Linked DNA regions of Sus scrofa. The protein of the gene in region 7 purifies or fractionates together with the protein of the main gene of each other region. This does not show direct contact. Links are inferred from orthologs where the notes say so. Each region holds a gene or a part of one and is shown on either strand. Other genes may lie near its edges. The genes, in order: MTMR3, PPP6R3, WDR62, CALCOCO1, PPP6C, PPP6R2 and AURKA.

Evidence for each region.
Region 1: the proteins of AURKA (region 7) and MTMR3 purify together in Homo sapiens (affinity purification with mass spectrometry; 3 studies listed by BioGRID and IntAct, counting the BioPlex papers as one, with this or other methods). This does not show direct contact. The link is inferred for Sus scrofa from reciprocal best matches to the Homo sapiens genes AURKA and MTMR3.
Region 2: the proteins of AURKA (region 7) and PPP6R3 purify together in Homo sapiens (affinity purification with mass spectrometry; 6 studies listed by BioGRID and IntAct, counting the BioPlex papers as one, with this or other methods). This does not show direct contact. The link is inferred for Sus scrofa from reciprocal best matches to the Homo sapiens genes AURKA and PPP6R3.
Region 3: the proteins of AURKA (region 7) and WDR62 purify together in Homo sapiens (affinity purification with mass spectrometry; 3 studies listed by BioGRID and IntAct, counting the BioPlex papers as one, with this or other methods). This does not show direct contact. The link is inferred for Sus scrofa from reciprocal best matches to the Homo sapiens genes AURKA and WDR62.
Region 4: the proteins of AURKA (region 7) and CALCOCO1 purify together in Homo sapiens (affinity purification with mass spectrometry; 3 studies listed by BioGRID and IntAct, counting the BioPlex papers as one, with this or other methods). This does not show direct contact. The link is inferred for Sus scrofa from reciprocal best matches to the Homo sapiens genes AURKA and CALCOCO1.
Region 5: the proteins of AURKA (region 7) and PPP6C purify together in Homo sapiens (affinity purification with mass spectrometry; 4 studies listed by BioGRID and IntAct, with this or other methods). This does not show direct contact. The link is inferred for Sus scrofa from reciprocal best matches to the Homo sapiens genes AURKA and PPP6C.
Region 6: the proteins of AURKA (region 7) and PPP6R2 purify together in Homo sapiens (affinity purification with mass spectrometry; 4 studies listed by BioGRID and IntAct, counting the BioPlex papers as one, with this or other methods). This does not show direct contact. The link is inferred for Sus scrofa from reciprocal best matches to the Homo sapiens genes AURKA and PPP6R2.

What each region holds. Positions count from the first base shown.
Region 1 is NC_010456.5:47,010,881-47,014,655, forward strand, and holds part of MTMR3 (myotubularin-related protein 3), read left to right. Parts: intron 1-992; coding exon 993-1,163; intron 1,164-2,372; coding exon 2,373-2,518; intron 2,519-3,691; coding exon 3,692-3,775. UniProt on the Homo sapiens protein: Lipid phosphatase that specifically dephosphorylates the D-3 position of phosphatidylinositol 3-phosphate and phosphatidylinositol 3,5-bisphosphate, generating phosphatidylinositol and phosphatidylinositol 5-phosphate.
Region 2 is NC_010444.4:4,408,256-4,412,030, forward strand, and holds part of PPP6R3 (serine/threonine-protein phosphatase 6 regulatory subunit 3), read right to left. Parts: intron 544-3,775; coding exon 390-543; intron 1-389.
Region 3 is NC_010448.4:45,456,848-45,460,622, reverse strand, and holds part of WDR62 (WD repeat-containing protein 62), read right to left. Parts: intron 1,573-3,775; coding exon 1,505-1,572; intron 1,431-1,504; coding exon 1,309-1,430; intron 559-1,308; coding exon 483-558; intron 1-482. UniProt on the Homo sapiens protein: Required for cerebral cortical development. Plays a role in neuronal proliferation and migration.
Region 4 is NC_010447.5:18,920,220-18,923,994, reverse strand, and holds part of CALCOCO1 (calcium-binding and coiled-coil domain-containing protein 1), read left to right. Parts: intron 1-153; coding exon 154-312; intron 313-959; coding exon 960-1,108; intron 1,109-3,775. UniProt on the Homo sapiens protein: Functions as a coactivator for aryl hydrocarbon and nuclear receptors (NR). Recruited to promoters through its contact with the N-terminal basic helix-loop-helix-Per-Arnt-Sim (PAS) domain of transcription factors or coactivators, such as NCOA2.
Region 5 is NC_010443.5:265,895,077-265,899,536, forward strand, and holds the start of PPP6C (serine/threonine-protein phosphatase 6 catalytic subunit), read right to left. Parts: upstream 3,071-4,460; 5' UTR 2,973-3,070; coding exon 2,898-2,972; intron 1-2,897.
Region 6 is NC_010447.5:306,931-310,705, reverse strand, and holds part of PPP6R2 (serine/threonine-protein phosphatase 6 regulatory subunit 2), read left to right. Parts: intron 1-2,500; coding exon 2,501-2,638; intron 2,639-3,675; coding exon 3,676-3,741; intron 3,742-3,775. UniProt on the Homo sapiens protein: Regulatory subunit of protein phosphatase 6 (PP6). May function as a scaffolding PP6 subunit. Involved in the PP6-mediated dephosphorylation of NFKBIE opposing its degradation in response to TNF-alpha.
Region 7 is NC_010459.5:56,958,785-56,962,559, forward strand, and holds part of AURKA (aurora kinase A), read right to left. Parts: intron 2,702-3,775; coding exon 2,510-2,701; intron 1,654-2,509; coding exon 1,515-1,653; intron 1-1,514. UniProt on the Homo sapiens protein: Mitotic serine/threonine kinase that contributes to the regulation of cell cycle progression.

The DNA.
Region 1 (3,775 bases), on a different chromosome or scaffold from region 7:
GTAGGTTGCAGATGAGGCTCAGATCCCTCATTGCTGTGGCTGTGGTGTAGGCTGGCAAGTAGTCTTAATTAGACCCCTAGCCTGGGAACCTCCATATGCCACAGGTGGTGTGGCCCAAAAAGAAGACAACAAAAAAATAAAACATAATGCAGACTGTGTCATTACTCTGTCAAGAAACCTCTGATGACTTTCTGTTTCACACAGAATAAAAGTCAGTCCTTAAAGTGGCCTGCATGGCTCTCAGGTTACCCATCTAGGCTCATTTCCTCCTATCCTCCACCTCATACCGTGTCCTTCAGTCTCAGTACACTGGCCTCCTCAGTTCCTCAGAAATTGCTAGCCTGTGCTCACCTCAAGACCATTATGCTTGCAGTCGACTCTGGCTGGAGCAGCCCCCCACCCTGTCCCGAAAGTGCAGTATGACCTGTGCTCTCATTTCCAAAAGATTCCACTAGTGAGGGCTTACGCACTACCCTGTGTGTGCTCTGTCCCTCTTACCCTGCCTTATTGTTCATAGACCTGGTTACCCCTCCCCCACAACTAGAGCAAGCTCCACCAGGGCAGTAGAGCTATCTTCTCATTCTGTGGGTGCCTATCCAGCACCCATAGAAATGTCTAGGGTATGTGAGATGTTCAATAGCAACTTATTGAATTAAAGTTGTTGAGAAATGTGCTTTTAGTTCAGACTTGGGTTGCACAACTGCTCCTGGGCCCAGTTTATATGAGTGGCTGTTAATTAGGACCTCAGAGACTGTGCCAAGGAGGCCAAGAGGATGGGGGCGACAGCACTGTCTTTGCTTTCTTGACTCAGGAGTGACAGTGGTTGGGGTTGTGAGGAGGCTGCGATTGGGTGGCTTACTTGGTTGCCCCATCTTTACCCGTTATGAACTGAAGTACACATCAAGGATGTTGGGGAAGGTGGCTCAGCTACGCTGACCTTCCCCAGAAAATGTGTATCCACTGCTTGATTTTGCCTCATTGGACTCCCACAGGTGAAACTGGTGCAACATACCTATTCCTGCCTCTTTGGAACATTCCTGTGCAACAACGCCAAGGAGAGAGGAGAAAAGCATACTCAGGAACGGACATGTTCTGTGTGGTCGCTGCTTCGGGCGGGCAACAAGGCTTTCAAAAACCTACTGTATTCCTCTCAGTCAGAAGCCGTACGTATCCTTTAGCCTTTTCTCTCTGATGAGCAGGATGAATTTGGGGATGAGGATATACGGGAGCCTTTTTGAGAAGTGACTTTCCTTGAAGGCCTCTAATTGTCTCTGGATGGGTTGGTTCCATTTTTTTCCCCCAACCACTCTGCCTAAGAAAGATGCTGATACTTTCTGGTGATGCTCTGCCTTGCTTCTGACTACTCTTTGTTTAGGGCAGTTAGATTTAATACCATCTCTACTTTGCCGCTCTAGATATTAGTCTTTTACGCACCTCTGCCAGATCTTAACTTACTCTTAGCATGTTCTGTTCACAAGAGGAGGAAGCACTTAAGTTGTTCCCTGGATGCCCCTGAGAGCACAGAAGGAGCTGCCATTAGGCCCCCAGCACCCTTCCAGTGTCAGCAGACAATAATGCCCTCTATAGCTTCTGTCTCAGAAAACAGAAAACTTTGTGACACTAGTGTGTGCGTCTGTGTGATTCTCTAGTCACATGGAGAAATGGCAGGCCCTTTAAGACTTTTTTCCTCAAAGGAACAGAGGAAAGGAAGCACTTAAATCTGTGCATTAGTACGTGGTACCATTCCCTTAGTGAGAATGCATCTGAAATTCTAAAGTCACAAGGAGGCTAATCAGGAGTTAAATTGCTTTGCTAGACTATTAATTAATGTCTTAGTACAATTAGGTAGTTCAAGGAAAGATTGAAGCTAGCTGCTTCTCTCTCTTCTCTGCCTGGTGGGGAAGTAACAATACATAAGGAAAATTCCTTCCTTTTCTTATAAGTAAGTTAGATGATCCTTTAAAACAGGTTTGACATGTCTTTGGAAGCCAAGCTTTTTTAACAGGGAACAATCATCATCTAGCAGAATGACTCACTTGAGCCGTAAAGCAACAAAGTAGACTGAGAAAAGCCAGTCATTCAGTAAAGATGACCTAGAAATGACTAATGAAAAATGGATTAAAAATTTTTTTTTGACATTTTCACAGCCATAGGGGCTCTTAGATGAAAAATCCCACCAACCCCAATTCCTAGTTCTCTATAGGTCCTTTTGGGAGATAGAGCTGCATCTGCACCCACTGTCACTAATGCCCTTCAGACTGTACAGGACTGCTGGGCATTTCTACTTGGTCTTTATTCTTCACCCTCATTTCTGGATGTTTCTGACAGACTTGTTGGAACTCATTTAACCTGCCCACTTGCACTTTCCTTAGGTGCTGTATCCTGTGTGCCATGTGCGTAACCTGATGCTATGGAGTGCGGTGTACCTGCCCTGCCCATCCCCGTCTACCCCTGTGGACGACAGCTGTGCACCATACCCAGGCCCTGGCACCAGCTCTGAGGATCCGCCCCTGAGTCGGTGAGCCCTGAGGCTGATGCCAAGACCTCAGATCCTTTGTGGTTGTATTCTTGTGCTACGCTATATATACCCAGGGATGATTGGAGATCATGACATTGTCAAGCTGCACACATTTCATTGATCTTTGAAGTTTTCTTAGGGAAAGTGTAAGGATTTTGGGCTATGAGGCTGTAAAAACCTCATTTTCTGTAGAGTATTGGGCCCTGTTGCTACATGGCTCTGCTGCATGCACCAAGCAGTTTCTCAAGTGGTGTTTCTCTGGGTGTTTACTGTTTGTTTTGCAGCACATACAGCATGCAGAAGTTCCTGAGCTAGGGATTGAACCCAAGCCATAGCAGTAATGCTGCCAGCTCCTTAAACTGCTGAGCCACAAGGGAACTCCTCCTCTGGGTTCCTTGTGACTCTCTAGCTTGAATTTCAGCAATTGCTCTGTGTTGCTGCCTCTCTGCTGTGATTTGTTGTCTTGGGCTTATAAAGGCAGATGACTTCAGATGATAAAAAGTTTGACTTTGCAACGTATGAATTAGCTTATTGAATTCAGTCTGATAAATAATAATTAAAAATATTGTAATAGCAGAAAATCAGCACTGCTACTTTACTTTGCCACTAATTGAGAAACAGCAGTATCATGAAGAATGTTTTTTTATTTATTATTATTTTATTTATTTATTTTGCTTTTTTGGGCCACTCCGTGGCATATAGAGGTTCCCAGGCTAGGGGTCTAATCAGAGCTACAGCTGCCGGCCTACACCACAGCCCCAGCAATGTCAGATCCTAGCTGCATCTGTGACTACACCACAACCACAGCTCACGGCAGTGCTGGATCCTTAACCCACTGAAGGAGGCCAGGGATCGAACCCATAGCCTCATGGTTTCTAGTTGGATTCATTTCTGCTACGCTACGATGGGAACTCCAAGAATGTCTTTTTTTTTAAGAGAGCATTTGCTGTTAGCTTATTTGTATATGTTGGGTATAGTGTAGGTGTGGTGCCAGAGGAATAGAAGGACTCATCTTGGAGCTTCATCTTCCTGCAGTCTAAGCCTCACCCTAGATATGCCATGGCTCCTTGAGTAGCTGTGATGAAGCTAGTTATGAAATGACTGTTGAAATGTATTGTCTCCCACTTCCCTCTGGATAGCCTCAGATTCTCATTTCCCCCAAACTTTCTTTAGGCTACCAAAGACTAGATCATTTGACAATCTGACCACAGCCTGCGACAACACAGTGCCTCTCACTAGCCGGCGCAGCAGTGACCC
Region 2 (3,775 bases), on a different chromosome or scaffold from region 7:
CATGAAATACAGGTTCAGAGTAGCTATTAAATCCAAGCTGTAGTCTGCATTTTTCTGCAATGCTCCAGGCAGAGGTGCCTGTCAGGAGGTCCCTGCCTGCACCCTGTTCCCAGGCCTGTTCTGACAGTGGGCTGGGACCGGAACAGCCCCGAAGAGGCCATCCTGACAGCTGAGTGGTCGGCCTCCTCTCCCAGCCCCTCCTCGATGAAAGGGGGGAGGAGGGAGCCTCATTCTCCTAGACAGCCTCTTCGCCGAGTGCTGCCTGTCCATCTTGTCTGAGGCGCCTGGTCCACGTGGAGGAAAATCAAGGTGACAAACAGCATCGAGAGCACACATGGCACCCCCGGTTCTCGGGGAGGAAGGTCTGGGGGGCCGGCACCCAGGCTCACCTCAGGGAGGACGTGAACTCTGAAAAGGAGGCCCAGCCTGTCTCCTTCGTTGGCACTGACTCCTCTGTGCTCCAGACGTCAGACCCCACGGAGTCCAAGGCAGCACCGTGGGCGGTCTCCATGGGGACGTCAAAGTTGGCTGACCAGCTGGGCGCTAGAGAGGGAGGAATTTCACCTTGAGAATAAATACTTCAGTCGTTTCATCGAATGCAAGTTATTTTTCAAAAGCAGATGTGCAGTGATAAAACAAACAAACAAAACACCCCCACCCCCGCAGCTGTGGGGCAAGGAGTATTTATTCTAAAACACTTAGTCACTGGGAGAGCAACTTGATAACATCTATCCTGTCATAAAACTGTGTTTCCTTTGAGCCCTTAGCAATTCCCTTTCCTATGATTTTTTTTTCCCAATAGAAATTATCACACAAGAATTCAAAGCCACACAGAGAGGAATATGCTGAAGCTAATTTCTTTCTCTTTTTTTTTGGGGGGGGCCACACTCACGGCAGCACATGGAAGTTCCCAGGCTAGGGGTGGAATCGGAGCTGTAACTGCTGGTCTACACCACAGCCCCAGCAACTCGTGATTCGAGTCACATCTGCCACCCACACCACAGCTCACAGCAACGCCAGATCCTTAACCTACTGAACGAGGCCAGAGATCGAACCTGCGTCCTCATGGATACCAGTCAGATTTGTTTCCGCTGAGCCACGATGGGAACTCCTGATATTACTTTCTTAATTTTGACAAATGCACCAAGGTTACATCAACACTGAGAGGAAAACGGGTGAAAGGTACACAGCCACTCCCTGTACAATCTTTGTAACTTTTCTGTAAATCTAAAATTATTCCAAAAGAAAAAATTTATTTTTTTTAAAAGCACACTGCCTATTCAACTGCAGTCAGCTGGAAACAACCTCAGTGCTTCCCAGTCCACACCCGGGCCCGTCACACTGCGGCTTCTGACGGCCTCCCTGCAGTCTACAACCTTGAGCACAAGCGAGAGCAAGGATTCCTACGACACAGTACGAAACACCTAGTGGGCCCCTGCCCGCCCACCCCCTCAAGCCTTGAAATCTCTGACGTGCCGAGCTGTTCGGGTATGCCAGTGAGGTGACTGGTGGCTGGGGGGCCTGGAGGGCCCGAGGGTGGGTGTGTGGGGAAGCCAGGTGATGAGAAGGTTGAAACTCTCAGCTCCCCGCCTCCACCTTCTAGAAGGGTAGAGGGACTGGAAGTGATCAATGATTGATCAACTGAATGATCAATGATTTGATCAACCACACCTGCTTGATGAGGCTCCAATAAAACCCCAAAGGGCAAGGCTTCCTCTGGGCTGGCAGACAGAGGGCGGCACGGCACCAGCTCCGCGGACACAGGGGCTCTTGTGCTCCAGACCCTTCCGGACCGTGTCCTGTTCCTCTCGGAATCTGCCCATTCATCTGCTGCTACTGTTTTGCTTTTTGTTTTTGTTTGCCTGCTCTTTGTCTTCTCAAGCCCTCACCTGCAGCATAGGGAAGCTCCCAGGCTAGGAGTTGAACTGGAGCCACAGCTGCCGGCCTACACCACAGCCATGCCAGATCCGAGCCACATCCACAACCAACGGTGCAGTTCGCAGCAGCGCTGGATCCTTAACCCACTGAGCGAGGCCGGGGATGGAACCCAGCAGGCACTGAATAGGGTTGGTTTCGTGCTTCCTGCCCAGGGACCCGCATACGTGTGGCAGGACCGCTGACATCCAGAAGGACGCCACCTCAGTGCCTGAAAATCCCACCTGCAACCTCGGAAAAGTCAAACCGACAGGAATCTTCACAGGCGTTTCTGCCTGCCCGCCACTCGCAAAGTTCTGCATTCATTCCATCCGCAAAGTCCCCCTTCCTAAGTCAGGCCGCACACAGACTCTCCTGCTGCTACCACTCTGGGGCAGTCTTTCCCAGACGCGCTCCCAGAACTAGTCCAATCAGAAACTCTCCTCAGCAGTCCAGAGAAGCTCCCAAAGAAGCGACATCCTTCCCCCGCCGGGGTGTGAGGCCCTCAGAGCCAGGGGACAGGGCAGCTCAGAGCCCCGGGGAGGGCCCCCCGCCCCCAGCCCCACCCCGACTCCCGGAGACCTGCCAGCACAAAGGAAGCCCTTCCAGGGAGCAGTTGGGGCGAGGAGCCCCCAGGGCTGTCCCCAGTGGGACGGGGTGAATGTGACCTTCATCCAAACGTCCCCCTCCATCTCGCCCCACCCCCACCCCCACCCAGAGAGTCACACTCAAGTGTGTGTCTCTCTCCGAGACACAGATTCTGGAATATTATTCAGCCTTAAAAAAGAATACAATTGTGTCACATGCCCCAACACGGATGAACCCGGAGAGCGTCATGTTACGGAAATGGAGCAGTCACGCAAAGACAAACACTCCAGGAGTCAATTTCAGAGACAGAAGGTAGCATGCGGTGGCCAGGAGCTGGGGCGGGGGACATGGACGGGTTGTTGAACGGGTGTAGCTTGGGGCTCCCAGGATGAAAAAGTTCTAGAGGATCTACGTGAATAGACTTAACAGTGTTGAGCCATACCTGTGAACACACACACACACACACATACACACACACACTCTCTCGAGCCAAAGGATCAAGGCCTCCGGCCTGTCTTTCTCCCTGCCGCCCGGCTCCTGTTCTGATCAGCCCTCACCGTTCCGAACACGTAGCGGTAAATCTCTTAATTCAGGTTTCCTGTCTCCAGTGTGTGCTTTCTCATTCAGCTTTCACACTGCTGCCAAGCATGATCATCTTCAAACAGATCAAATAACGTTATTTTCAGTAAAATCCTCGGCAGGAGGATTACAGCTCTCAGAATAAAACTCTCGTTCTGGCCTCCGGCTTCGCTCCCACCATCTCCCCCTCCTCACGAGCTGTGTCGAACCGCCGGTGGGCCTCTGGGCTCCCACACTAGCTGCTTTTCTTTCCAAGGGACGAGTCCCTCCTTGTGCTCGTGAAGCATCCCAGTCCCTGGAAGGCCTCTGCAGCTCCTCCGGCTCTGCGCCCTCGGCCCCCTGGCACGTAGGACGACCCCAGCGGCCGCAGGCTGCTCTGAACTACGTCGCAGAGAGAACAGCCCAGGCCTTCCGCCGGAAGACGGCGAGCAGGCGACAGAGTGAGAGGACAGAGGGTCTGCCTTTCCCCTCTGGCTCTCTGCTTTCGGCATCTGCAACCCGCGGGCTCTGCTAAGCTCTGAGCTTGTGATGGAGTTGAGCCCAACCTCCAGAGCTGGGTTTCAGCCTCCAGAACGGCGTCAAAAAGGCCTTCCTGGGTAACAGGAAGCACTGCCAGTTTTGAAGCAAGGCCGGTATCAACCCGCACGGCTCTTTCACATAAAAATTTACCCGAGCTTTTAGAAGTTAACGTATT
Region 3 (3,775 bases), on a different chromosome or scaffold from region 7:
GGCTTCTTTGCATTTTACAGATGATGAAACAGGTTGAGAATAGATGACATTTGCCCAAGGTCACAGGCAGCCTGAGGCAGAGCTGTTAAGAGGGTCTGACCCTGAAGCCTAAACTCCTTGTCCAGAGGCCCCTAAGAAGGCTCCCACCTCGTCCTGGATGACACAGGCAGGGAGCAAGGCTGGAGAGGGACCCCAGGTCTCTCGGATTCTTCCCACACCCCGCTCTACTGACACTCAAGATGGAAACCACTTAAATGGCTCCGCTTGGGGCAGGGTTCAGTAAATAAAGGTAGAGCAATCAGGGCTGGCTCCCCGCATCCTTGGTCAGCCAGGCCTTAGTGGATACTGGCCAGGGTGTGATCTACGGATCAGGTGCCAAGGAGGACGCAAGTCTCAGGCGGCCTAGCAGGGGAGAAGACAGAGAGGGGGGCCTTGTGTGTGGCTGTGTGTGCGGCTTTCACCCGGGAGCCCCAGTTTCTTACCTTCAACAGGGACCCTTCATCTCCCTGGGAGCCCTTGTAGCACTTCTTCTGCTTCCCGTTCACGGTGTTGTAGACTCTAGGAAGGTGGGGGGCATAAGTGACTAACCTGGCCCTGCCCACTCACCCTCTCCTGTCCTCTGGATCCAGCCTTACCTGCTCCCTCCTTTCCCCTGGAAGTCCCCATTCCTCCTATCCCCCATCTAATGTCTGGGCTGAAACCCCATGCCGGGGAATGTGACCTCATCCCAGGCTGGGTCACAGAGGCTATGTACTGGGTGTCCCTTGAGTTCATGTCTGCCTCCCCGTCCATAGCAAGCTGAGGGCCTGGCATCCAGTTCGAATGAGCAAATGAAGGTGGTGGAGAAGCTCTCTGCACATGCTCATTCCTCCCCATCCTCCCGGGCTAAGCTCAGCCGTCCCTTCCAACAGGCCCTTTCCACAAGCTCCTGTTGTCCCAGCTCTGGTCACTCTGTGCTGTCACAGTCTGGGGAGGTTCTCTCTCTTCCACTCCACATGACTTTCCCACTGTCCCTTCTAGACAGCTGCTCAGGAAACAAGGGTGAGTGAATAAGTCTACGAGCCACATCAGCACCTCTCAGTCACCCCACACAGGCTCCTGAGAGCCAGGGGAACCCTCGGCTGACCTGGGTGAGCCCAGCTCCTAAGAAACACCCACACGGTCCCTCCACCCCACCCTGCTTCAGGGACCAGATAAGCAGGAGGAAAGCAAGCAGCCCATGAGAAGACAGGCCCAACTAGGCCCCTACAGGCCCCGCTCAGAAACCAGCCCAGGCCAAGCCAACTCAGAAGCCAGGACTGCCCTCACCTGACGTTGCGGTCCTGGCAGGCCACGGCCACATACTTCTGGGTAATGTCAATGTCCATGTCATACAGGGTGGTCTTCTCTGCCACGTGGTGGGTACGGACGAAGTGCAGTCCATCCGAGGCCTGGCAGGGCAGGCAGGGCCTTCAGAGGACGCCCCTGACAAGCCCCCTACCCCAAGGAGGCCACCCCACGCTACCTGCTGGGCACTGCGGAAGTAGATGCTCTTGTCGGCACCACAGCTGATCATCTGGATGTCTCTGCTGCCTGGAGGAAGGAGCAGTGTACTAGGCAGGGCTGGGCCACCGCTGGGCTGCAGATCCTAGCTAGGGAAACTACCGCAAGGGAACTCTGCTGGGGGTCAGAGGGGGCTTCGTGGAAGAGGTGAGGTGAGTGCTGGGGTTCGTGGAAGAGGTGCGGTGAGTGGTAGAGCCGTGTGTGTGTGTGGGGACACAGGGAGCAGTGGGCTGCAGGCCTCTGCAGAGCAACAGCAGGTAGGGAAGCAGAGGCCAGGACGCAGCAGGGGCACCATGTTTCATGTGGGATTTGGAGAGGTGACTTGGGTTGCAGCATGGAGGTGGGACTGAACAGAAGAGAGGAGACAGGCAGACCTCTGGGAGGCTCACACTATCAAGAACAATCAGAATATCCACACATTCCTCGGTCCAGGGCCTGCACTGCCTGCGCCTCCCCTTCCTGTCACCAGCCACTGCGTTGCACAAATGGGAACCCAGGGGCTCAGCGTCACACAGTCCTTGTCCCAGGGTGCAGCGTCAGGACCGGGCCAGGGCTGAACCCAGGCAAGCTCTGGTTAAACACTGCTCTGTAGCCAGGCTTCCTCTCTGAGCCTCAGCTTCCAGCCTGTTTAACGAGCCTCCTTCACCGTGGAGCGGCGTGAAGCTCTAGGGACAATGGTTGCCACCTGGTAAGCACTACTGGCGTGGCGTTGCTTTTATCCTTCTTTCTTTATAAAATAACAATAATCACAGCACAAATACCTCAGAGAGTTGTAGTGAGAATGAAAAGACAGAACACACTGCTCCTTCATGACAGGACTTTTGAAGAGCGTCCGGGCCTGACATGCAAGTTAAGGTGTTGCTCAGGCAGGAGTTAGCAGATCACGGAAGGGGGTGTGTGTTGGGGGCTGGAGGGAGGGGGACTGGGACCCAGGAGGGACCCAGAGAGGGCCTGCAAGTCACTGGTAATGTTTTGCTTCTTTACCCAGGGTGGTGAGTCCAAGTATTTAGCAATACTGGGACCAGGACCAATCAGAACAGTTGCTGGCTGTAAACAATGCGTGTCTGGCATGGTTCAAACCTACCAGCTATGACCCTTGATGTGGACACTCACTGAAGGAGTCTGTGAACTAGTAACAGGTTTTCTGTGTATTTTTGGATGTGTATTTCACTGACTCATTTTTTTAGCTAGGTAGCTCCAGACAGTTTCTGACTGGCTGGAGCCCAGTTTCTATGAACTATCAACGTTTTGAGGACAAGGCCCAGGCGAGCCAGCCCAGTCGGAGCAGGGTTCACAGGAGTTTGCTTTAGGATGCGCCTCCTCAGCCTGGCTGGGACTTTACCAGAGGCCCACACCTTCTGAAGGTGGCCTCAAGGACTGACTCTTGGGCCACCCTCTTGGGCAGTCATCACCTCTCTAGGATCTAGACCATTCTTTAAAGGTGAGGTCACTGCTGGCCAAACTTCCAGGTTTACTGAACAATTCTAACTACCCTGTGGAAAGAATGGTCTTTTAAGGATGTCTGAGAAGTCTGAGCAGATGAGCTTTTGTTAGATCCTCACTAAGACATTGCAAATATTGTTGACCCGTTTTGGCCCAGCTCCTGACCACCTTAGTTAGACAGAGGCAGGGCAGGAAGCGAGAAAACCAAGGCACATTAGTACATTCTTAGCCGCAAGATTATGTGAAGGAAACTCTTCATGGTTGAGAACTTGGAGTACACAGATGTATTCTCTCCATGAATGGAATCTTTTTTTTTTTTTTTTTTTTTTTTTTTTGGTTTTTAAGGCCACACTTGCAGCACATGGAGGTTCCCAGGCTAGGGGTCTAATCGAAGCTACAGCTGCCAGCCTACACCACAGCCACAGCAACACCAGATCCGAGCAGCATCTTCGACCCACACCACAGCTCATGGCAACACTGGATCCTTAACCCACTGAGCGAGGCCAAGGGTCAAACCTGCAACCTCATGGTTCCTGGTCGGATTCGTTTCTGCTGCGCCTCGACGGGAACTCCGGATTCTTCTTGAATACAGTTTTGAATATGTTCCTAGGTTCTAATCAGTTAAACCCCCATGAGGCCTACATGCTCTTCTCTTGGAATTCCTCATGGCCAGGGATCTCCACACTCAATCTTTCCAGTCTTGGAGGGATCCCTTCAATTGCTGGGTTGAGCACAGGCTTTGAAGGACAGCCTTATGCCAAATACCAGGCCTGCACCTACTGGCTGTGTC
Region 4 (3,775 bases), on a different chromosome or scaffold from region 7:
CGCCTACCAGGCCTCTCCTGACACCTACTCCTACCCTGGACTGATAACTTCGCAGCCCTGAAAGGTATCTGCAGAGTGGTGGGGATGGGACCTCGCAACGGGCACTTCATGGGCAGAACCCCCCCCACCCTTTTCTCATCTTGTCCCCTGTAGAACCAGCTGGATGAAAGCCAGCAAGAGAGGAATGACCTGATGCAGCTGAAGCTGCAGCTGGAGGGGCAGGTGACGGAGCTGAGGAGCCGAGTACAGGAGCTTGAGACGGCCCTGGCAACCGCCAGGCAGGAGCACGCGGAGCTTTCGGAGCAGTACAAGGTGGGGGTTGGGCCTTTGGAGGGAGGGGCCTGGATACACACTTGGGGTCCAAAATCTGAACCCAGGGGAGACGTTAGTGGGCTGTTAAGATGATTCTGACATCAAAGATACAGATTTGGGAGTTACTGTTGTGTCTCAGCAGAAACGCATGTGCCTAGTATCCATGAGGATGCAGGTTCGATCCCTGGCCTTGCTCAGTGGGTTAAGGATCCTGCATTGCCGTGAACTGTGGTGTAGGTCACAGATGCGGCTTGGATCTGGCATTGCTGTGACTGTGGTGTAGGCCATCAGCTACAGCTCTGATTTGACCCCTAGCCTGGGAACTTACATGTGCCGTGGGTGTGGCCCTAAAAAAACCGGAAAAAAAAAAAAAAACCTACAAGTTTAAGACGTCACAAATAGGCTTCAACTGGTTATGACAGGAGCTATGTCCCAAATTTGTAGTGAGACTCAAGTTCTTGGATCACAGGAATGCTGAGTTAGGATGGAGGTGGCCATAAGCACCAGGAAGGGAATGTTTCTTTTACAAGGAAGGTGACCAGGTAGGAAGTGGATAGTCGAACGCAGGAATCCTCCTCCGAAGCCTTTGCTCCACTCTTTGAGAGATGAGTCTCACCTTCTTCCTTCCTGGGGAACCTTAATTCCAGGGGCTTGCCCGGTCCCATGGCGAGCTCACGGAAGAGAGGGACATCCTGAGCCGGCAACAGGGAGACCACGTGGCCCGCATCCTGGAGCTGGAAGAGGACATCCAGACCATCAGTGAGAAAGTGCTGACGAAGGAGGTGGAGCTGGACAGGTGAGGGGACCTCCTCGAACCCCACTATTTCCCTTCCCTTCCTGTCACCCTGGATCCCCAGCCTCCCATTTCAGGCACGCAAAACCTGGTCTCTGGAGTTCCTGTCATTGCGCAGCGGAAACGAATCCAACTAGGAACCATGAGGTTGTAGGTTCGGTCCCTGGCCCCATTCAGTGGGTTAAGGATCTGGAGTTGCCGTGGGCTGTGGTGTAGGTCGCAGACGTGGCTTGGATCTGGCGTGACTGTGGCTGTGGCTGTGGCCGGCAGCTGTAGCTCCAATTAGACCCCTAGCCTGGGAACCTGCGTATGCCGTGGGTACGGCCCTAAAAAAGACAAAGAGACAAACAAACAAACAAAAAAAAACCAAACCTGCTTTCCATCTCACATGGTTTCTCCTTCCCTTCTCAGCCTCACTCACGGTATTCTACTTATTGGGGCTATCTTTTTCTGCCAAGCTCTCTTCCATATTTCCTAACCTGTTCTGTATTCCTTGAGAAGTACTCGTGGTTACTGTTTATTGTGCGGCAGATACTAAGCAGGAGCTGGGGTGGAGGACTGGAAGAAGAGAATGGACGGAATGGCCAAGGCAAGATAGGAGAGGATGAATTTCAGATTTTACCCCAGCAAAGCATGAGATTAGACTCTGTTCTCTCTATTAGGAAATGTTAGAACTGGTGATTCAGAAATGTTACGGGATCTCTGCCCTGAAAAAAGGTACAAATCATAGAATCTTAGCAATGGGAGGAATGTAAGGTATTTAAGAGGGTATGTGAGAGAAGATCACTACCTCAAAAGGTAGCCTCTTTCTTTCTTTCTTTTTTTTTTTTTTTTCTTTTTTATGGTTGTACCCATGGCCTGCGGAAGTTTCAGGGCCAGAGATCAAACCTGCATCGCAGCAGCGACCCAAGCTGCCGTGGTGACAACACCAGATCCTTAACCTGGTGTACCGCAGGTCAACTCCAGCAACCTCTTTTCAACGTCAGACAGCCATCATTTTTATTTCTCTTATAACGTAACTACCCTTCTATAACTTTCACTCACTGGTCCTGGTTTAGACCTTTGGAGCCACATGAAATAAATTTCTTCTGCCAGACAACTATTATTTCTACCAAATAGCACAAATATTGGCCACCTCTCATTCTAGTCCTTCAGATTTTTACATCAAATGACATAATTAAGTTTCTTTCATTCATTACTGGTATAGATTTGATGGGGTTTTTTTTATTTTATTTGTTTTTATCTTTATTTTGTTTTATTTTATTTTTTTGCCTTTTCTAGGGCTGCACCCACAGCATATGGAGATTCCCAGGCTAGGGGTGTAATCGGAGCTGTAGCTGCCGGCCTATGCCAGAGCCACGGCAATGCTGGATCCTTAACCCACCAAGCAAGGCCAGGTATCGAACCTGCAACCTCATGGTTCCTAGTCGGATTCGTTAACCACTGAGCCACGACGGGAACTCCTGATGTTTTTGTTTAAAAAAAAAAACTCTTGGAGTTCCCGTCGTGGCGCAGTGGTTAATGAATCCGACTAGGAACCATGAGGTTGCGGGTTCGGTCCCTGCCCTTGCTCAGTGGGTTAACGATCCGGCGTTGCCGTGAGCTGTGGTGTAGGTTGCAGACGCGGCTCGGATCCCGCGTTGCTGTGGCTCTGGCGTAGGCCGGTGGCTACAGCTCCGATTCAACTCCTAGCCTGGGAACCTCCATATGCCTTGGGAGCGGCCCAAGAAATAGCAACAACAACAACAAAAAGAAGACCAAAAAAAAAAAAAAAAAAAAAACAAAACTCTTTAAAGGCAAAGGCATGCTGTCCAAGACCAGGAGTAAAAGGAGGGTTGATCCCTGAGGCTTCTTCAGTCCAGGATATGTTAGTCTTGCCCTGGCGAGATACTAAATGTCTAGGTTCTAAATCACGAAATAGAAAAGTAGGGATCAAACCAAGCATCTGGAAAAGATCAGGGACTGTCTACACAAGGGGTCAACAAACTATGGCCCATGTGCCAAATCCAGCCTGCCACATAGTTGTTTTTTTTTTTTTAATGGCCGCACCCATGCATATGGAGGTTCCCAGGCTAGGGGTCAAATCAGAGCTGCAGCTGCCATCCTACACCACAGCCACAGCAATGCTAGATCTGACCTACCCCACAGCTCATGGCAATGTCAGGTCATTAACCCCCTGAGCAAGAACAGGCATCAAACCCACGTCCTCATGGATGCTAGTGGGATTCATTACCACTGAGCCAGGACAGGAACTCCTGGCCTGCCACATAGTTTTGTATAGCCCACAAAGGTAAGAATGGTTTAGAGAATTTTTTTTGTTTTTGGCCAGAGCATGCAGAAGTTCTCAGGATAGGGATCAAACCCAAGCCACAGCAGTAACCAGAGCCATAACAGTGAGAACACTGAGTCCTTAACCACTAGGCTACCAGAGAACTCCCTTGACAATTTTTAATGATTGTAAAACAAAAAAATAATATTTTGTGATATGAAAATCATATGACATTTAACTCCATTATTCATAAATAAAGTTTTATGGGGCCAGCCATGTTCATTCATTTACGTATTGTCTATGACTGCTTCCACACTCCAATGGCTTGCAGAACCTAAAATATTTACCATTAGGCCTTTTACAGAAAATATCTGCCAACTTCTGATCAAAAGTTTATTGAG
Region 5 (4,460 bases), on a different chromosome or scaffold from region 7:
ACTATTTCCTTCATTTATACACTGGTATATTAAATCTTTATGCTAAGGTATAAAAATCTGCACAACACTGTATTCTAGCCATACATAAAGCCACGCTGTGTCCCTAACTGCTGTACTGTCTTCGATTTTCCTTGAAATACCTTAAGAAAGATAATATACAGAACTAAATAACTCAGGTAAACAGAACGATCAAAAAGACAGGCAATAAGGTGAATGACAAGACTAGAAGACTTTAAGTCTGGAATGATCACGTCTACCATATATAAGAATCTATAAGATCAGATAGAGGCTGAATAAGGAGGTGAGATAGTAGTTCATCAAATCTCAGAAAACAGCAAGGGAGGATTCTTTGAAGCTTTACGAAGGCACTTCAAACAGGTATGACTTTGCAGAGCAGGTGGCCTTATATGAAAAACTCAGAGATGGCTCAAACTAAACATAAAAGTGAGTCTCCAAAAGATTACATTAACTATTATCCATAAAGGTGGTTATTTTTCCCTGTATTACATGAGATAGACACTAATATTCTCCAAACTCCTACCACAGAAACCATCTTCAGTTCTTCAGTAAAAAAAAATGAACACCAACTCAGTGTGCAACTTCTTTACTTACGCGGCACCTTTGAGAACTGTCAGAGAGATCAGACAATCTCCAAGTCATAGAATCTCTCCTCTGCCAAAATTCTAAAGTCTAAATATTCAATAAACCTGCATTTTATCATTCATTCTTCCAACTGGCCACAAATGGAATCTACACCTTCTATGATACACTGTGAGATATTTACCGTGGATGAGAATCACATGAAGTCTTTTTTAAGAAAGATTATGCTTTGGTCCACTCACTTGCACATATCATCCTTATTCCTTCAAAACAGTTAAGTAGATTTGTTCAAGGACTAGCAATCTAACCACTTCCAATTTAAATATAGAGATTTCATGATTAGATCTGGAACATCCTACGCATTTCTTTTTTTAGAGCCGCACCCGCAGCATATGGAGGTCCCTAGGCTAAGGGTCGAACAGGAGCTGCAGCCACTGGCCTATGCCACAGCCACAGCAACGTGAGGTCCAAGCCACATCTGTAACCTACACCACAGCTCATGACAACACCAGATCCTTAACCCACCGAGCGAGGCCAGGGATCGAACCTTTGTCCTCATGGATGCTAATAAGATTCGTTTGCACAGAGCCACAACAGGAACTCCCCGCATTTATTTCATTTAGTACCTCCAACTAAATTTAAAACACAGGTAAATTTCTGTCTTTTTCTACCAGAACAAATCTTTTTCCATGATGATCATTAAGTGGCCCCAATTATTTATTTCGTTCCTTTGATGGAATATTTTACTTTGGCTTTAACGCCTCAGAAAAAGTGCTCCTGGAATACTTTCTTGGCAGGCTTAATTTTAGTTTGTACTTCATGCCAAGAGGTATAAAATTAAATTTCTTTAAATACACAAGAGATGCAGTACAAGAAAATTAATCTGATAAAAACATTTCCAAGACAAAGAAGAGAAGCCTCCACTTACATAGAAAAAAATCAGAACTCTTTTTTTTCTAGTAGTTGGCCGGGGGGGGGGGGGGGCGGGGGGGAAGAACAGATACACACTAAGTGCAGTCCAACTGTGTTGCAAAGAGAAATGATATGGTTTAAAAACTATATTTTCTTAGGTTGGGAAGGAAACTTAATGTTTATCAAACTAAGAAGTCGAAAGAAAATCCAAGGGAGTTCCCGCTATGGCTCAGTGATAACGAAGCCGACCAGTATCTATGAGGAAAAGAAAAAACCAGTAATATCTTCCTTAAGGGGAAAAAAAGTTAATGGACAATAATAAATTACGTTAAACCCAGAGCTTCAAGAATAAAAAGGACTCAAAAGTATCAACAGTTTGTGCATGCTCCACACATCAAATCAAGGTTAGCTTAACACATAAAACATGCGCTAGTACTAATGGCTCAAACACTGCTAGACGCTTGAGCACTGGTTTTAACAAACGCATTGCAACACCTGTCTAAAAAGCAGTATCCCAAAGACTTATCTCTCTTTATTCTTCCACTCATTTCTTTACCCAAACACACATTTATTGTTACCCGGACTCGGCAGTACAAGGAACGACTCATCTCCTTTGAAAAACCAAGAAAACGAAAAGAGCTAAGAAGGGACTTGGGGGAAACACCTTAAAGGACAGAAAAGTATATTTATCGAGAGCCCACTACTTTATGCACATAAATTAGCTCAACAGTGTACTCGAAAACAGGGTCATATTGTAATTAGCGAAAGAAGACCAACACTCCTAAAAAGCAACCGGGAGAAGTGAGCGGTCCGGAAGAGGGACGACTTGACGTCCTCTCGCATCACCATCAAACCGCTCGGACCCCCATCAGCCCTTTCCCACCCTCATTTCTCAGGGAAAGAAACACACTGGGGCCGCGTGCCGGCGGCCGGCGGCATCTCCTGTCAGACGCCGGCACCCCGCGTTCCCGTCCCGCTCCTGGAGGAATGAACCCAGGCCACTCCCCGCGGGGGCCCGGCTCGGACTCCGGAAGACCGGGGGTCGAGCTGAAGGAAAGGGGGTCTTGCAAGCAAAGCTGTTAGGGCTCGGTGCCCTGGGGCAGCCCCAAGGCCAGGAGCGGCAACTCTGGGGCAGAGGCCGTGACACATCCCTCGGGAACCCCGCGGAGGGAACCGGGACAGCATTCGGCAGACTCGGGCTCCCCTCCTCTCCCCGCGTGACGTCCAGTCGGACCGGGTCCCTCTGCACCGCTTTAGGCCTTCCACCGTGACGGGACAGGATCCCGCCGGGGGTCCCGCGGAGAGAGGAAGGGCGGGCCGGCGGGCGCCCCACTGCCGGAAGGGACAAGCCCCGAAAGCAGCGTTCCCGCCTCGGCCGGGCTCACCTTCAGGTCGTTCTCGGGCAGGTACTTGCATAGACGCGCTATCTCCACATACTTGTCCAAGTCCAGGGGCGCCATTTTAGAAATAACAAGCCCCGACAGCGGCGGCGATATCGGCGGCTTTACTAGCTGCGGCAGCGGCGGAGGCCGAAGCCGGAACCCTCCCTACGTCACATCCGGCCTGTGAGAGGCGTCTGCGCAGCGGCGTAAAGTTTGACCCGATTTTCCCCGCTGCCTTGGCACGCCCCACGCCCTCGCCGGCTAAAACCAGGTTGCGGGCCCTTAGAGGCCCCCAGTTTGCATAGAGCAAGACCGGCTGAGACCCTTAGTGGTCTGCCGCGGGGGTTGCTGGGATTTGTAGTTTTCCAAAGTACCAAACAGTCTTCTTTTTCTTTTCTTCCTCTGGACTTTCACCTCTGCGGAACCCAGCGAGGCTTTTCCGGTACAAAACAGCGAAGTAGGTGACTCTACCTAGCCATTCCCTAGTTTCTCACGCCGACCTTCTTAAGCATTCTCTCACCAGAATGTCTTCAGTTAAAAATTGGATAAGCCTGGCCATCGTAGCAACCTATTCGCACCTTTCCAAGGCCCTGTGAAAACCTTGGCTGAACCCTTGACAGATAGGTTACCAACTTTCCAGGCTGGAAAGAAAAGGACCAAATACTAAGCACTTCTTATGCTAATCGTTATACAAATGCTGTTTTTCCGTGTAATCCTCATAACAAGTGATAGGAAAGGAAGGCTCAGAGAGGTTATGTAACTCTTAATCTGATCTCAATAGGGAATAGTCGGGAAGCCAAGATTGGAATAGGTCTGGTTGGTTTAAGTCTACTTCAGTCCCACGAGAGCTGAGAGGTTTTTTGTTGTTGTTGTACTCTCAGCACCAAAAACAGAGCCTGGCACTTAGTATACTTTCAACATTTCTTCACTCAACAGCTTTTTTTCTTTTTCTTTTTCTTTTTCTTTTTTTTTAGGGCCTCACCTTTGGCATATGGAAGTTGCCAGGCTAGGGGTCAAATCAGAGCTGCAGCTGCCGGCCTACCTCACAGCCACTTGGGATCCCAGCCACATTTTCGACCTACACCAGGGCTCAGGGCAATGCCAGATCCTTAACCCACTGAGCGAGGCCAGGGATCAATTCTGCATCCTCATGGATACTAGTTGAGTTCCTTACCCTAGGCTGAGCCACACAGGAACTCCCACTCAACAGCTATTAATTGAACACTTAACTAAATGCCAAGTACAGTTATGCTTGGGGTATTCAGCAGGCAAAACAAAGATCCCTATCCTCTAACTGTAGCTATATTCTAGTAAAGGAGACAGTAAATAATAACTATAGTAAATAACCGTAGAGTATATTAGAAAGTGGTAGGTGCTGGGGAAAAAAAAAAAAAAAGCCGAGTAAGGGAGTTCTAGCAATGCATATTTAAGAATCAATAAAGAGGTGGATGAGGAGTTCCCATCATGGCTCAGTGGTTAACGAATCCAACTAGGAACATGATGTTGCAGGTTCAATCCCTGGCCTTGCTCAGTGGGTTAAAGATGCGGCATTGCCGTGAGCTGTGA
Region 6 (3,775 bases), on a different chromosome or scaffold from region 7:
ACCTGATCCTTAACTGCTAGGCCAGCAGGGAACTCCTAAACAGTATCTTTTTAATTGAAATTTTGCACTGAGATAATTGTAAATTCCCATGCAGTTATATGAAATAAAATAAAGATATCTTTTGTACACTTTGCCCAGTTTCCTTCAATGGTGACATTTTGTGAAACACTAGTGGCAGATCACAGCCAGGAACTGACACTGAGAGAATCCACTGACTTATTTAGAGTTCTCCCCTTTTACTTGTAGTCTCGTGTATGTGTGTGTGTATTAAGGTCGGAACAGTTTATCACTTGTAGGGGTTTGTGTCTCCACTGTCACGTCCAAGCTATTGAATGGTTCCCAGAGGGCAGAGACCCTTTGTATTGCCCTTTATAGCTCCTCCCTCCTTCCTCCTTCCTCCCTCTCTCCCCCATCACCCGTCCCTAACCCCTGGCAACCACTAAGCTGTTTCCATTTCTGAAATTTTATGTTCAAGTGTTATTTAAATTAAATCATATAATGGGTGTTCCTGTTGCAGCTCCATGGGTTAAGAACCTGACACGTGGGAGTTCTTGTCGTGGCTCAGTGGTTAACAAATCCGACTTAGGAACCATGAGGTTGAGGGTTCAATCCCTGGCCTTGCTCAGTGGGTTAAGGATCTGGCATTGCCGTGAGCTGTGGTGTAGGTCACAGACTCAGCTCGGATCCCACGTGGCTGTGGCTCTGGCGTAGGCCAGCGGCTACAGCTCTGATTAAACCCCTATCCTGGGAACCTCCATATGCTGTGGGAGCGGCCCTAGAAAAGACAAAAAAAAAAAAAAAAAAAAAAAAAAGAATTTTTGCGTCTTTGGTTATCAGTGAGACTGGGTTATAATTTCCTTTTCTTAAAAGTGTCCATATCAGGTTTTGGAATTGAGGTTTTTTGTCCTTATTAGGGTATATGCTCTCATTTTATGTTCCCTGGAAGAGTCTTGTGTAAGATTGGGTGTTTCGGAATTCCCCTAGGGGAAACAAATCCCACTGGTAGCCAAGAAGTTGCGGGTTTGATCTCTAGCCTCCTCAGTGTGTGGAGGATCCAGTGTTGCCGTGAGCTGTGGTGTAGGTCGCGGACATGCCTCGGATCCTACATTGCTGTGGCTCTGGTGTAGGCCGGCAGCTGCAGCCCCGATTCGACCCCTAGCCTGGGAACCTCCATATGCTGCAGGTGCCGCCCTAAAGAGCCAAAAAAAAAAAAAGATTTTTTTTTTTTTTTTTTTTCCCTATAAATGTTTGGTAGAATTCACTAACCAGCCCATTAGAGCCTGGAGTTTTCTCTATGGGGAGGCTTTTAATCGTAGCTTTTGTTTCTTTGATGCTCTAGAACTCTTCAGATTTTCTCTTCTCATCAGTCCACTTAAGTGTGTTTTCATTTTCCCAAATTGACGTAGATGGGCGTATTGGCGTTTGCATCTGTAGGGTGTGTCGGGATGCCCGGAGCCATTCTGCTGGGTTTTCAGGCTTTCTCTCTGGCAGTTTCAGTCACTCTTCACCCAGAACCTGCTCTTCCCCGCTCTCCCTCTTCCTGCTGGGCCTCTCCTCACTCTTCCTCCCGCCACCCCCTTCGCCTCCAGCACGAGTTTGGTGGAGACCTTAGCTGGGTGGGCCTTCTGTGTGTCCCCACTGTCCCCGGCAGAGTTCTGGGTGTGCCTCCGCACAGTGGCCTGGACACACAGGCGTTTCATCTCTGTGGCCCACCTAAGCTCAGCGCCCAGCCCCGCCCGCGGCTGCACACCCAGCTCTCCACGCCTTGCTAGCTAGCACCAGTCACCAGCCAGCCGACCCTCCGCCTCTGCTGCAAAACCTCAGTCCTTTCCCTCCAGCCACCTGTGGGGCTGTCAGCCCTCCAGATTTGTGTCCCGTGTCCAGGGCTGTCAGCACAGACCCCACCCCTCACCCCCACCGCCCTGACTCAGCACAGTCTGCACCTGTCATGTGTGGGGTTTTTTTGTTTTTGTTTTTTGGTCTTTTTGTCTTTTTAGGGCCGCACCCATGGCACATAGAGGTTCCCAGGCTAGGGGTCTAATCGGAGCTGTAGCTGCCAGCTTACGCCACAGCCACGGCAACGCCGGATCCTTAACCCACTGAGTGAGGCCAGGAATCGGACCCACGTCCTCATGGATGCTAGTCAGGTTGTTTCCACTGTGCCACAACGGGAACTCCTGCACCTGTCATCTGTGCTGGAAAAGCTCGAGCCAGTGCGTTTGGAGTGGTCGCCGTGCACAGCAGCTTGGGCCATCCCACGTGGGTGTTCCACTCATGTTGTCACACAGCCTCAATGTGCAGCAAACCCCGCCAGCCCGGGTCCTCTTGTGCCCCCGCCGCCTGGTGGGCTCGCCTGTGTGTGGGTCTTGGCCTGTCCTGGGGTAACCTCTCTTACAGTTGGTCGTAGCTCTCCACGTTTCTGCTCGACATTGTTGAAAGCAGGCTTGCGCATGGCTGTTCTCGGGGCCACCTGCGCGCCTCTCAGGGCTTCTGGTTTCAGGTGATCGTGTTCCTGAGGAAGAAGGACAAGTTCATCAGCCTGGTGCTGAAGCACATCGGCACCTCGGCCCTCATGGACCTGCTGCTGCGCCTGGTTAGCTGCGTGGAGCCCGCTGGGCTCCGGCACGAGGTCCTGCAGGTGAGCCTGAGGCCCCGCCTCCCCAGAGCCCCTCTCCTCTGCGCGGGATCTCTGGCACTAGGAGGCTGCCTGGCACCCCAGCTTTCTCCACCTTCCTCCTGGGATGGGTCCTGGGTTCTTGCCAGGGCTCGTAGTCGAGGCCAGGGCTGGCGTCTCTGCCTTTTCTGCTGTCCTGCCTCACCTGTTTATGAGCAGAGAGCAGAAATAGGCTTCCTCACTTCTGCCCCACCCGTGGCGCCTCTGGGCTCAGTCAGGTGGCCACTCTGTGCCCAGTCGGGTGCCTGAGAGGAGGCACTTGCTGACGAGGATTTGCAGGCAGAGAAGTTGGAAAGCCCGGAGTCAGCCTGTTTGTCCTGAGCTGTGTGCCTGTGGCCGCCCTGGCAGTATTCTCAGCGAGAGGCACTGCCCGGGGCTCCCAAGGGCTTTCCCGGCAAAGAGGAGGGTTCTCAACCCAGAGAAGCCCAGAAATCAGGGCAGGACACGCTGTTCGCTGGGGGTTGGTAGGTTTTGTTTGTCATGCAATTTAAAATTAAGTAAGTACACCATTGGTCCTTCTTGCTGGTTTTCCTGCTCCTGGAATTAGGTGACAGTTGTCATCAAGGTGGCAGGTCTCACTCTTAGAGTCCTAAGTGGCCTCGTTAGGGAGCGCCTCCTACCGCGATGTTCTGGTAGAGGTCCGTCAGCACAGGCCTCAGCCTCCGGGCCTTGGCGGGAGCCTCCCCCGCCTCTGCGCCGAGCAGTTTTGGGGTAAGGAAGTGCCGGCCTGTCCAGGGAGCCCCTCCTGACCGGGACAGAGGCGAGGCCGGCCTGGGCGCGGGGCGGGGAGCCAGCAGAGGCGCCTGAACTGTCAGGACCCGTGGACGGGGACGCCCTCCCTGGTGACCTCGGGGCCTCTGCTCTGCTCTCTGGGTCTGGGTGGCCCTGCCTGCTGCTGAGGAATCGCTCTTGGAACCTGGCAGGTGGATTTCTGCGGCCCCGAGGGGCTCTCCTGGGTAGGTGTGAGCAGAGCCTTGGACCGGCGTCCTCTTCTCTTTCAGTGGCTCAACGAGGAGAAGGTCATCCAGCGGCTTGTGGAGCTGATCCATCCGAGCCAGGACGAAGACGTGAGTGACCAGCTCTGCTCGGGAGCCTGGCCGG
Region 7 (3,775 bases):
GGTGTGGCTCTGGTTTGAACCCTAGCCTGGGAACCTCCACATGCCATGGGTGTGGCCCTAAAAAGATAAAAGAAAGAAAGAAATGAGCTATGAAAAGTTACAAATGAATCTCAAATGTTATATGGTAACATATGTGGTTATATGGTAACTGGTTTTCCACAGGGTAACTGGTTACCAATTCTAGTAGCATATACACCATATACACGTCCACTGGAATTGAATGAATAAATGGACAGCGGATCGTGAATCCAAGTTCTTTCAATGTCACAGTGGAAGGTTACAGATAAACGAGGGGGGAGGACACAGGATCCGTGTGACAATGGACTCATGTGTTGCTTAGCAAGATACCGATGGATACAGAAATAGTTTCAGATACATGGATTACCATACGCACTTATTTCCTGGCTCTCTGTCAGCTGAAAGCTGAGACGTTTTAACACGCAATAGCACGAGCACATCTAGTGCCCAGATTTTGGTTTCTAACATTACCTTTTCCAGTAAAGGGAACCAAAGCTCCCTGGAGAAATAACCGATCACAAGACTGGGATAGGAAACGTATAAGATGGAGCTGGAACACCTTACGGCACCAGAAAACAAGAAAGTGCTTTTAAACACACACACACTGACAGGGACATGTCAAAAGGACACGGGAACCATGTCAAAGAGCTCCCAGTGGCCAAAGCTGAAACAACGAGAGCAAAGTGTATTAGATTACACAGAGTATAAAATGAGTCCATAGCAATAAATGATGGAGTAAATAATGGAAAACAGATACATCTCTGGTACAAAATTCCCAATAATTATGACCATGCTCTGCTTTATAGGACATGGAACATGACCACTCAAGGGCTGTTCCTTTGAAAGGACACAGCACGACAGGGAGGAAAAAAGAGTAACTTCACAGTGGAGAGCGTTGCCACTCCCTCCCTCCCTCCGCCAGGGATGAGGCCAACACTCAGGGCTAGGTCAGGTTAACAGTGTAACTCTTGACAGAGGAGAAGGCCTTTTCCCTCGGACCTTCCTCTCAAAACCCATGACCCTGATCTAACCATGAGAAGAATGAAGGAAATCTGAAAGAAGTGTGGATTCCAGTTAACAGCTATGCACCAATACAGGTTCATTAGTTATGGCAACCGGATCACGCTAACGTAAAATGTTAATAGGAGAAATTAGGTGTGTGTTAATAGGAGAAAGTCTGCAGTATCTCTAATTACTCTATACATCTAAAATTAATCTAAAATAATTTTTTTCTTTTTTTTTTTTAAAGAGGGCAACTAATTATATACATTTCCACAGACACAGCTGTGGAAACTAACCAAATATTCCACTTGGTAACTGATTTTATCTGTAAATAAAGGCACATCTATGTTGTTTTTGATTTTTCCATTTCAAATACTTGATCCTATTAAGCTACCTTTCCATTTGACAAAACCCCCTCTATTATAATGAAAGGTACACGGCTACGCGGGACAGAAGCGCAACAGAATTAGTCTGGACAACAAAAGCAAACTTACAGTAGCAGTTCTCTGCTCATCAAACTTTGACAGTTTCTGAAGTTCTCTATAGACAGCTCCGAGAGGTGCGTATTCCAGGATTAGGTAAACTCTGGTAGCGTCATGGAAATAACCATACAGTCTGAGAATATTTGGATGCCTGCAAGAAGGACGAACTCTCTAACACCGGGTTTGGGAGCTGATACAAGAATAAGTACTGAATAGCAAACAAACCCCTCCTGTGAACCCAGTCATGACAACTGCTTCTTGGCCACAAACACCCTCCCCTCCCACCTGGAGAGTCTGAAACTACGGATGAGACGCACCGTAAGAAACAGGTGTACCTCGCCTATCAGTTCACACGCATTTCACACGGTATCAATGGACCTTGTTTGGCTAAGACTATTTCCTTCCTTTAGGCCATCTTTGCTCTTAGGGGGAAAAAAACTAGGTAAATATTAAGTCTCTGCAAATTTGGAAAAAAAGAACAAAACAAACAAAAGGTAGACATGGCATCCCCACAGTAGTTTGATACCCTGGACACAATGAGACAGACAACACAGAAGCCATGTCTGACAAAAGCAGGTGTGCTGCTAAGGACTCTGGGCAGCTGAGCACAGCCTATATGAGACATTACCAAAAAATTCACTGAAAGCGAAAAAGAAGAAAAGACCCACTGGCTTAAGTCAACCTGCAGGCTGCCAGTTTGAAACCTGAACTCAAAAAAAAAAAAAAAAAAAAAAAAAAAAAGAGGTGTCATTCCCTTTAATTATCCACCAAATCAAAAAAACCCCCAAAAAACATGTCCAGTAAATTACTCCAATAACAAAACAAACCTTCAAGCAATGTTCCAGGACCACAGCACTTAAGTCTAAATCAACCTCTGAAGAGTGTCAAATTTAATCACTCTCTGCAGTGCTAGGAAGGCAGCCTTCTCCAAAGGAGGTTATTACAGTGAGCTCGTTAAATAACCAAGTTCCATCCATCCCTCTTCTGACATCGACCTCAAGACTTACCTAAGGTGGGACTGTATTTCTACTTCTCTTCTCAGCTGATGCTCAACTCCTGCCTTCTCCAGCTGAGTTTTAAACAATACTTTAAGAGCCAGGATAAACTTGCTTTGTTTTTCTCTTGCTAAATAAACATTACCAAACTTTCCTTTACCCAGCGGGCGGCCAATTTCAAAATCTTCCAAAGCCCATTGCCTTCTAGAAAAGAATTGAACATTTTAAAATGTGAAGAAAACACTTTTCTAACAATGTATGAGTGAGTAGCACACATTCTATAAATTATTTATATTATTTATAAAATATATATATTATTCTATAGATAATTTCACATTCAAAGTTGCATTCGGTATGCACCCTCTTCAAGAGGCCAATAACCACAATGAATGAGTCCACACAGACATCAAACCCTGCACCGCCACCCCGCCCCCACGAGTCTGCGACAAGAATAGTCTGGACTTTGAGAGTTGAAGCTCCCTGGGAGTGTCTCAAGGCATCCTGAGTTCTGGAGCACGGACCTATTACTGACACCACTTAAGTCCATGAAAAGGATTAGAGGAGTAACTGGAAAGGGAAGACTGCTTCAGAACCACCTGCGAGGAGTTCCCGTCATGGTTCAGTGGTTAACGAAGCCTACTAGGAACCATGATGTTTCGGGCTCAATCCCTGGCCTTGCTCAGGTTAAGGATCTGGCGTTGCCGTGAGCTGTGGTGTAGGCTGCAGACTCGGCTGGGATTCCGAGTTGCTGTGGCTCTGATGTAGGCTGGTGGCTACAGTTCCAATTCGACCCCTAGCCTGGGAACCTCCATATGCCACAGGAGCGGCCCTAGAAAAGGCAAAAAGACCAAAAAAAAAAAAAAAAAAAAAAAAAAACCACCTGCAAGCCCAATCAGACTAACCACAGCCTCCTCTAGCCCAGGAGGCGCCAACACTGGGGTAGAGCATCACTCCCGTCAAGCCAGCGGGATGGATCCCACAGGGTCGGGGGGCGAGAACCACCAGATATAGATTCCTGGGAAGTCTATTAGGCATCGAGAGCAAAGAAGGCTGTGGGTTCATTCCTGGCTCCTACGACATTCCAGAGTCTAGACAGTTCAGACATTGAGAGCAGAGGAAAATACAGCCAAGCTCTATCATGAAGACCAAGTGCAATAATTCTATTAACACCTTCAAAATACTCACACAGTCATGTATGTCTCTACAGTTCTGCAACAGGACACTTTATTGCCATTTCAAACAAACCTGCACTTCTTGACTAGCAAAGAAGTATAGAAG